Linked DNA regions of Yarrowia lipolytica. Each later gene encodes a partner of the first gene's protein in a complex. Links are inferred from orthologs where the notes say so. Each region holds a gene or a part of one and is shown on either strand. Other genes may lie near its edges.

Region 1 (5,209 bases):
ATTGCTCTTTCCGGTATCATTGTGTTCTTTGCTCTCCAATACTCAGGAGTGTCGCTTGACTGGTGGGGCAACAATGTTCCGTGGGAAGGAGCAGACGGAAACCTGACGCCTTTGTTGGAAATTCCGGATGGTCAAATTATTGGTCCTCCTAAGGGCAGTTTCCCTTAAGCAGGAGCTTGTCACGTTCATTTTGAGATTCAATGAGAGTAATTTAGTAATAAATGTCAATTGGACAGAGATATGGTGAATGTATAGACATGGGGAGTTGAAAAAGGTGGGTATTTCGTAATGAATCAATGTGAAAAAGTCGGTTTGTGACCTTGTCCGTCGCGTGGCTGAGAGAAGATCTTCAGTCGATGGCAGATTGAGGGAGAGAGTAAGAACAGCATGAGAGTATGTACGGTACTATCTTCAATATATCATACATAGGCACCTCAAGTCAAATGAACTGGAACTACTTTCAAAAAGACAAACGAAAGGATTTAAATTTCTTTTGATAGCTGAGATTTTTTTTCTGCATATACATGAGAAGCTCAATGATATCATACCAAATGTAAAGTAATTAGTTAAGATTAATCCAGGCTATCGTTGAGAAACCAAACATTCGTCTAGTCTCGCTCACAGCAATGCTAGTGTTGTTCGGCCCGACAATGAACACCAAGAGACGGATCTGATTCCCCCAGACCAACTTCTGGCCACATGGGACTAATTTTCCTCACCCCGCACCACTATCCCCGCGTCCTAGCACCGAAAAGCTAAGTAAGTGTAAAAAGCTCAAAAGTGGCAGACCGATATCTGAAACGCCTTGAAAAGTTCAGTGGAGTTTCCGAATCAGGACAAACAGGTGCAACCAGAAAAATTAGCCAGCAGGTAATAACACTCATTAGTCCCTGTTTTGCTTACTAATATTCAACTACCTCTAAACCAATTGAATCCCCGCAATTGGTCTGTTACTAATACATTTCCCCCGTCATCTCATCACTTGTTTAGAGATTCCCAGTCTTCACACTACTTATGGGTACATGATGATATGCGTGTATCTCGTCATTACAAAGACGGAGTAGGAAAAAAATGAACACCAGCATTCCAACCTCCTCGACGCCTCGCCAAAGTCACATGACCAACGTTACGCTCGTCAGTGTTACCCTCTTGAGGCCAGCTCACACGACACCTATTCTCAGGTACAGTTGCAAGTGTAATTATTTGGGAGGTGGAGGCCAAAGGTTGGAGGTAGGGGTGTAGCATAATGTGAGAGCAGTGTACCCAGTATCATAGTACATGTTTGGCATTGCCATGGGCCGAGGAATTGGGCGCGTTGATTTAGTTTTGTGTAATGAAACACAAACACGGGCGAATAATATAAATACTTTGACCCCCCCGCGCTTCCCACCATATTTATATTCTTTATATTCCTCGTTCGTTCGTCTCTGTCCTTCTCCATCTTGTACACGTCAAGAAGTTGCCATGTCTACACCTTATTCACTCCGTGTAAGGTTTGGCCGAGTTTATCTCGACAAGGTACCACACAGCACACATCCGAGGTTCGACACTGGAGGTGCGACGGTAGACCTGAGTTGCCACGACAAGGAGAGTTCGACGCGACCACCGACAAACAACTGCGACATTACATCTCTGTCGTGATCAGGACTACACAACACACCACCCTCTTCACGCAACACCAACCTGCCATACGCCAGACAGCTCATCACACACCACACACACACACACACGTACACACGCACACACGTTAGATCATCATGCAATACCAACGAAACTCGTCGCTAAGGCGGTTCGTGGAGTCCGACCAGTTCACGCTCTTCCGGTGCTTGTCCTATCTCGAGCGATACGCGGGCGACATTGGTATTCACTTCTATCTGTGTCAGAAGCTGCTGTCGTTTCCGCGAGACGAAATCGAGTTCATCCTGCCCCAGCTGGTCCAGCTTCTCATCACGGTGGAAACCGAGTCCATGGCCCTCGAAGACATCATTCTGGATCTCTCCAACGTGTCTGCGCACTGTGCCTTGCTGACGTTCTGGCAACTGCAGGCACATCTGACCGATCTGGGAGATGATCCCGAATCTTTCGGCTTCCAGGTGTCGCGACGAGTCTACAACAAGCTGCAGTACATTCTGTTCAACATTGGCGAGCCGCCCAACTCGCGAATCAGAGAGAACCCCATGCCTGCCATGGTTCTGGCCTCGGCAATCATGGGAGCCATTGGCATGCCGCAGATGGCCGCAGCTGTGGGACCCATTGCGCTTTCACAGGGCCGAAAACAGAGGTCGTACGTGTTCCAGATTGCACCCAAACTGACCCGTTCTAGATCGACCGTGGAGGCTGACAGAGACGCCCTTCTACAGCGAAAATGGCGGACCATCAGCCAATCTGGTGTCGCACTGCCGTCCAAACGGGAGAAGCACCAGCATGAGCATTTCAGAGACGCCCCCAAAGCAACGCCCTACAAAAACTCGTCCTTTTCGGCTCCCGATCTCCAAAACGCATACCATTCGGCCCCCGATCTACGCCCTTCAAACGAGTGGGACGGCACTCGAACGCCGGTGAGTCTGGAGTTTGACGATGCACCCGGCTTCGAATCCGAGGAGCCACGTGACACCTCTCCGGACGACATCGAGGAGCGAGCCAAGGACGACCAACGAAAGATTCTGCGATCAAACTACTTCCGATGTGAGACACAGTTCATGTCAGCCCTGCAACAAATCTCCGCTCGACTTCTTCAGGTGCCTAAGCAAGCCCGTCATGCTGCTCTGAAGGCCGAGCTCACTCTTCTGAACCAGGAGCTTCCTGCTGAGGTCGACATTCCCCTTTTGGTTCCCTCGGACACAATGAGAAAGAACCCCACACACCACAGAATCGTGCGAGTGCCTCCCGCCGAGTCAGCTGTACTGAATTCGGCTGAGCGAGTGCCTTTCCTCATTCTGATTGAGTACCTGGAAGACGACATGACGTTCGACCCCGAGTGTGCAAAGAACAAGGAGGTTCTGGAGCATGCAGACAAGAAGAAGTACATTTTCGATCTCACTGTGAACCACAAAAAATCGTCTCATGCTCGAACCCCTTCTCTTGGACGATACCACGACGAGGATGCTGCCAGTATCAAGAGCAACCGATCGGCCACGTCGATCGCCAACTCTCTGGTTGGTTCAACCATTGCTGAATTGGAGGAGCTTGGCATTGCTGAAGACGACGAGCTGCCAGCTGAAGATGCTGACATTGGAGACATTTCTGTTATCTCCATGGACGAGGAGACTCAGGCCGAGCGCGTGAAACAATCCGTGCTCAACACCCTGTCCCATCTCCAAGAGAGCATGCCCTCTCCCAAACTGCATGATGTGGCCAACAGTCCGTATCAATCTTCTCCTCGAACATCAGATTTGTCGTTTGCGTCTTCGTACAAGTTCGAGAAGGCGCCTGAGGACCCCGTCAATCACTTGGAGCTGCCCGACGTGGCGTCTGTGGCCACCCAGATGCGTACAGCTGCCATCATGCTGACACAGCTGGACTCCTCCACAGGATCTAAGCTTTCCAAGGACGAAATCGCATCGATCAAGGCCCGAATCATCGATAACATGCAGGTTATGGAAGAGACGACTCTGGACGACCGTGACTTGTCGCTCTCCAAGGGCGCTGCGGGTGAGCGAAAGTTGGAAAACGATCTGAAAACTGGTGGTATGATGAAGTCGTCGGACCCCTCGCATGCCAAGCTCGGAGAAGACTGGGAATCGAAAAAGGCACGAATCAGGTCAAAGTCGCCGTATGGGCACTTGCCCAACTGGCAGCTGGCTTCGGTCATTGCCAAGACCGGAAACGATCTTCGGCAAGAGGCATTTGCCTGCCAGCTAATCCAAGCTATGAAACGAATCTGGGACGACGCTGAGACAGGCGTGTGGGTCAAGGAGATGAAGATTCTGATCACGTCTGACACCTCTGGACTCATTGAGACCATCAACAATGGTCTGTCGATCCATTCTATCAAAAAGGCGCTCGAGACAAGCAATGTTGTCCAGACTACAGCTGCCACTCAGACCACAACCAAGTACGTGCCTACTCTGACTGAGTACTGGAAGCAGACGTTTGGCGACGAGGACTCCGACCGGTACCAGAACTCTTTGAACGCCTTTGTTCGTTCGCTTGCCGCTTACTCCATCATCTGTTACATTCTCCAGATCAAGGACAGACACAATGGTAACATTTTGCTTGATACGGACGGTCATATTATGCATATCGATTTCGGATTCATGTTGTCCAACAGTCCTGGAGGAGTCGGTCTTGAAGCTGCCCCATTCAAGCTCACCTACGAGTACGTGGAGCTCATGGGGGGTATGACCTCGCCCCATTTTGAGCTGTACCGACAGCTGATGAAGGACGCGTTCAAGAACCTGCGAAAGCAGGCCGAGTCGATCATCTTGCTGGTCGACATGATGTTACAGGATTCTGCTCTGCCCTGTTTCCAACTGGGCCCGGCCACCACACAGTACCTGCGACAGCGATTCCAGCTACAATTGTCGGATTCGGACTTGGACCATTTCGTGGACACGTCCCTGATCCAAAAGTCGGTCGGCAACATTTACACCAGAATCTACGACCACTTCCAGTTGTACACTCAGGGTATTTACAGTTAAGCCGACGGGATGTCGCACATGGTTATAGATCTAATGGAAGAATATATGAACATATCAACACTGTGTGTACAAGAAGATTGTAGTTTGAAGAGTAAGAGAGTCGCAATCGTTTCCTTTTGAGGTCTTCTACTAGTAAGTATGTAGTTGTCGCCTAACGTAGATGGGCGTAGTGTATATGGATGCTGCCGTTGAGTGTTGTAGGGTCACTTTTCTCACGTTTGAGAAGTAAGATTAGGGAGGAAACTGCAGCCACTTATCCCTCAAAGGTTGAATAACCATTCGGTGTACGGTACCTCTTTCATGTCAAGGAATCATTGTGGGCATCGCACGAGCACACCACTGTCTCGATTAGCAATGGATTATGAAAGAAATGTTTTCTTGAGATGTAAGTTGAAAGCACAGGATTAAGAGTATATACTGTTGTCTCTTGTTTCACTTGTTATCTTCAGGTTTCAGGCCGTTTTCAAAAAACTCGAAAATCACTTTTTTCATCATTACTAGCCAGAACTCACTCTCTACTCTATCTATCTTCGAGCGGCATGGCGCAGCGGAAGCGCGCAGGGCTCATA
Region 2 (3,228 bases), on another chromosome or scaffold:
TATCCAGATCGTCTTTTGACAACCTCGACTACCTGAGGCTGGATGTGACAGAAGACACTGATACTGTCAGCAATGCATTTCGCATTCAAGAAGAGTCTGGCGGAACGCGCAATGATGGCTGCATTTCTGGCGTGGCTACATTTCTAGCTCATGTCAACGCTCTCTCTCTCGATTTGATAATCCACTGGAACTCTTCGGTGACTCATCATAGGCAATTCTGGCCCATGTACTGCGGTGAGATGGCTGGCGCTCTGAGCAACTCGCAGCTTCGGCATTTACACCTTGAGTGCAAGGAGGATGACAGAGGCACACTTATGATCCCATACGTGTGCCTCAGTTACATCGTTGCCAACCTCTCACCTCACTTGGAAGGTCTTGGTATTTCATATCCCCTCCTCGACACTGACCACAGTTACAATCGATCCTACTCGAACTATGGAAATGGCGAAACGTTACAGGATCTCTTAAAGTACCTTAATGTCAAGTATCTTGATCTCCTAAACTGTGGACCCCCTCCGCGAGCATGTTCCCTAGTTGGTGGGGGAGCTGTTGCCATACCTGGATTCGAAGATGGCCACCACCCTGATGATTACAGCCGCGTCATCCGAGAGATACTACCCGCCATCCCATCCACTCGCTACGTGGGTATTGGATCGCATGTTTTTGACGTAAGAGATCCTTCCCGGTTACCTATTGTTAGAGACGGACTTCGAGAGTGGTTTATCGACAAACTCCTGGGGCTTGAGAATACCTCATAGTAATTCTCACGACCATCACGAATCATGATGACTTTTACGACTTTCACGACTTTCACGACTTTCACGACTTTCACGACTTTCACGACTTTCACGACTTTCACGACTTTCACGACCTTTACGACCTTTACGACCTTTACGACTTACGACTTTTCCGACCTTATGACGCTTATGACCTTTATGACCTTTACGACGCTCACGACCTTTACGACCTTTACGACCTTTACGACTTACGACTTTTCCGACCTTATGACCCTTACGACCTTTATGACATCTATAACCTTTATGACCTTTATGACCTTTATGACCTTTATGACCCTTCTGATGACTTTATGACTTTATGACCCGCTTTATCCATGATCCCCACGATCATCACGACCTTGCTATTACGACACTGTTTATAAAGTCCTATGACCCTTATGATATTAATGACTCTAATGACTCTAATGACTCTACGATTTTCGTGACCTCACAGCACACACAACATCCCTTCAATACATATTTAAAAAAATAATGATATCTATTAGCGTACAAATCTATGCCGATACCGGTATCATAGTTACTGACAACTGAAAAATTATATGTGTAAGTTGTCAACATTGAGGATGCCAAGGGTACTTGTATCTGCGCATGAGGTATGCCAAGAACCATGAGACAAATTCGAGTGTACTGTTCTTGTAGCTACTGGATATCGGTAGTACAAAAGATGCGCTTTCCGACACTGTAATGTCAATAGAAGTTTGTGAAATAATATACCAAAATACCAAACACCAAGCTCGGAACTTAGATGATCGTCAAAATATTCAACCGTCGTAGAATCTCGAAAAACAATAATGATCCGTCCGTTCAGATTAAAGTTGGAACTGCGCCTCCACACGGCACTTGAATTGGTCACCTCAACATCATTAGTGGTATGATAGAAAGATGGCGGTGATGCTGAAGCTGGCGGTTGCCTCTACCAAGTCGGGTTTTGTTTTCTGTGATCTAATATAATTGCGCAAAGATGCGGTATCCCTTCGTGGTTTCACCACTTATAAGCCTACAGTGTGCACACATCTGCAGTGTTAAACCATGCCAGTCCGGGGGGGTTCTAAGCAGATACAACTTTGATCACCAGAAGGGTGCGTGAGCAGCTGCGCAAGACACCCGACACTCACAACCCAGACTTTACAGCTGCTAACCACACGTTGACCGCCACAACCAGGATCCGTTGACGACACAAATTAAGGGCAAATTCGACAAAACTAGCATAATCGCATTGCTATAAAAGACACGGTTTCACCATGGGAAAAGCAGCATCGAAACTGTCTAAGGACGAGCTCACTGAGCTCAAGAAAGCAACCTACTTCGACCGAAAGGAACTGCAGCAATGGTACAAGGGCTTTCTCAAGGATTGCCCGTCTGGCCAGCTGAACAAGGAAGAGTTCCAAAAGATCTATCGACAATTCTTCCCATTCGGCGACCCTTCCATGTTCAGTGAATACGTCTTCAACGTTTTTGACAAAGACAAGAGCGGAACGGTGGATTACAAGGAATTCATCTGTGCGATCAGTGTAACCTCGCGTGGAACCCTTGAGGAGAAGCTAGAATGGGCCTTCCAGTTGTACGACATCAACGGCGATGGTAAGATCAGCTACGATGAAATGCTTGCCATTGTCACGGCCATCTACAAGATGGTTGGCTCAATGGTCAAACTACCTGAGGATGAAAGTACACCCGAGAAGCGAGTGGACAAGATTTTCCGTCAAATGGACAAGGATCGAAATGGTGAGCTGACTCTGGAAGAATTCCGAGAGGGATCCAAGGTTGATCCCACCATCGTCAGTGCTCTTAATTTATATGACGGACTTGTCTAACGAGGTCCTTGATTGTCGTCCACAACCTATGTATCCAATATACCTTCATATTTTGTTTCATTCAGCTTATTAAATGTTATAGGAAGCATGGTTCCTTTTAATACTGTTATCTCTTTGTAGGTCACACACGGATAGTTAGCTACAGTATGCTCTATTTACCCAAAACGCCAGGCAGAGGCTCGCTACCAACGCTCATCATGAGCTTGATACCGAGAGTAATGGTAATCAGAGCGACAACTGCAGTCCAGAAGAAAAGCTGGAACTGGACGCTCACGTCCTGCTTCTGGCACAACTTTCCTCCTCGGCCAGTCTTGCACTTGCATGTGTAGGCAGACTCGCCACGGCCCTTGGAGCAAGCACCATGGCCTGAGCAGTTATTTGTCTTCTCGTTGCACTCATCCTCAGAGCCAAATCTGGCAATACCAATAGCCTGCTTCTTCTTGGAGGCTGCTAGGCGGCCACGTTTCTCCTTGTTTGTAGCTCGGAGGCATGAGGGGGCGTACACGACGGTGACAGGATTCTTTTCGTCGGCGTTAGAAATCAGCTCTTCAATATGGCTTGACGAAGACGACATTATGAGGGAAGCCTTGGCAGCTCCATGCTTTTGTTCCAGTCGG

The links.
Region 2: the proteins of YALI1_B03719g (region 1) and YALI1_E18242g are in contact, whole or in part, in an NMR structure (PDB 2JU0), measured with the Saccharomyces cerevisiae proteins. The link is inferred for Yarrowia lipolytica from reciprocal best matches to the Saccharomyces cerevisiae genes PIK1 and FRQ1. Residues at the interface, in NP_014132.1 of Saccharomyces cerevisiae: Ser122, Tyr123, Gly124, Phe125, Val127, Ala128, Val131, Asn134, Leu135, Gln136, Asn138, Asn141, Thr142, Ser143, Lys151, Glu154, Asn155, Val156, Ala157, Pro158, Ala159, Leu160, Val161, Ser163, Ser164, Met165, Met167, Ser168, Ile170; in NP_010661.3 of Saccharomyces cerevisiae: Trp30, Gly33, Phe34, Arg36, Asp37, Ile51, Tyr52, Phe55, Phe56, Phe64, Phe72, Phe85, Leu89, Thr92, Ser93, Arg94, Lys100, Leu107, Tyr108, Met132, Ser134, Met135, Glu142, Arg148, Lys151, Leu155, Asp176.

The regions. Positions count from the first base shown.
Region 1 is NC_090771.1:368,465-373,673, reverse strand, and holds YALI1_B03719g (uncharacterized protein), read left to right. Parts: upstream 1-1,757; coding exon 1,758-4,640; downstream 4,641-5,209. Other genes in the region: YALI1_B03761g (uncharacterized protein), read left to right, coding at 1-168. UniProt on the Saccharomyces cerevisiae protein: Acts on phosphatidylinositol (PI) in the first committed step in the production of the second messenger inositol 1,4,5,-trisphosphate. PIK1 is part of a nuclear phosphoinositide cycle and could control cytokinesis through the actin cytoskeleton.
Region 2 is NC_090774.1:1,822,230-1,825,457, forward strand, and holds YALI1_E18242g (uncharacterized protein), read left to right. Parts: upstream 1-2,038; coding exon 2,039-2,611; downstream 2,612-3,228. Other genes in the region: YALI1_E18212g (uncharacterized protein), read left to right, coding at 1-758; YALI1_E18258g (uncharacterized protein), read right to left, coding at 2,763-3,228.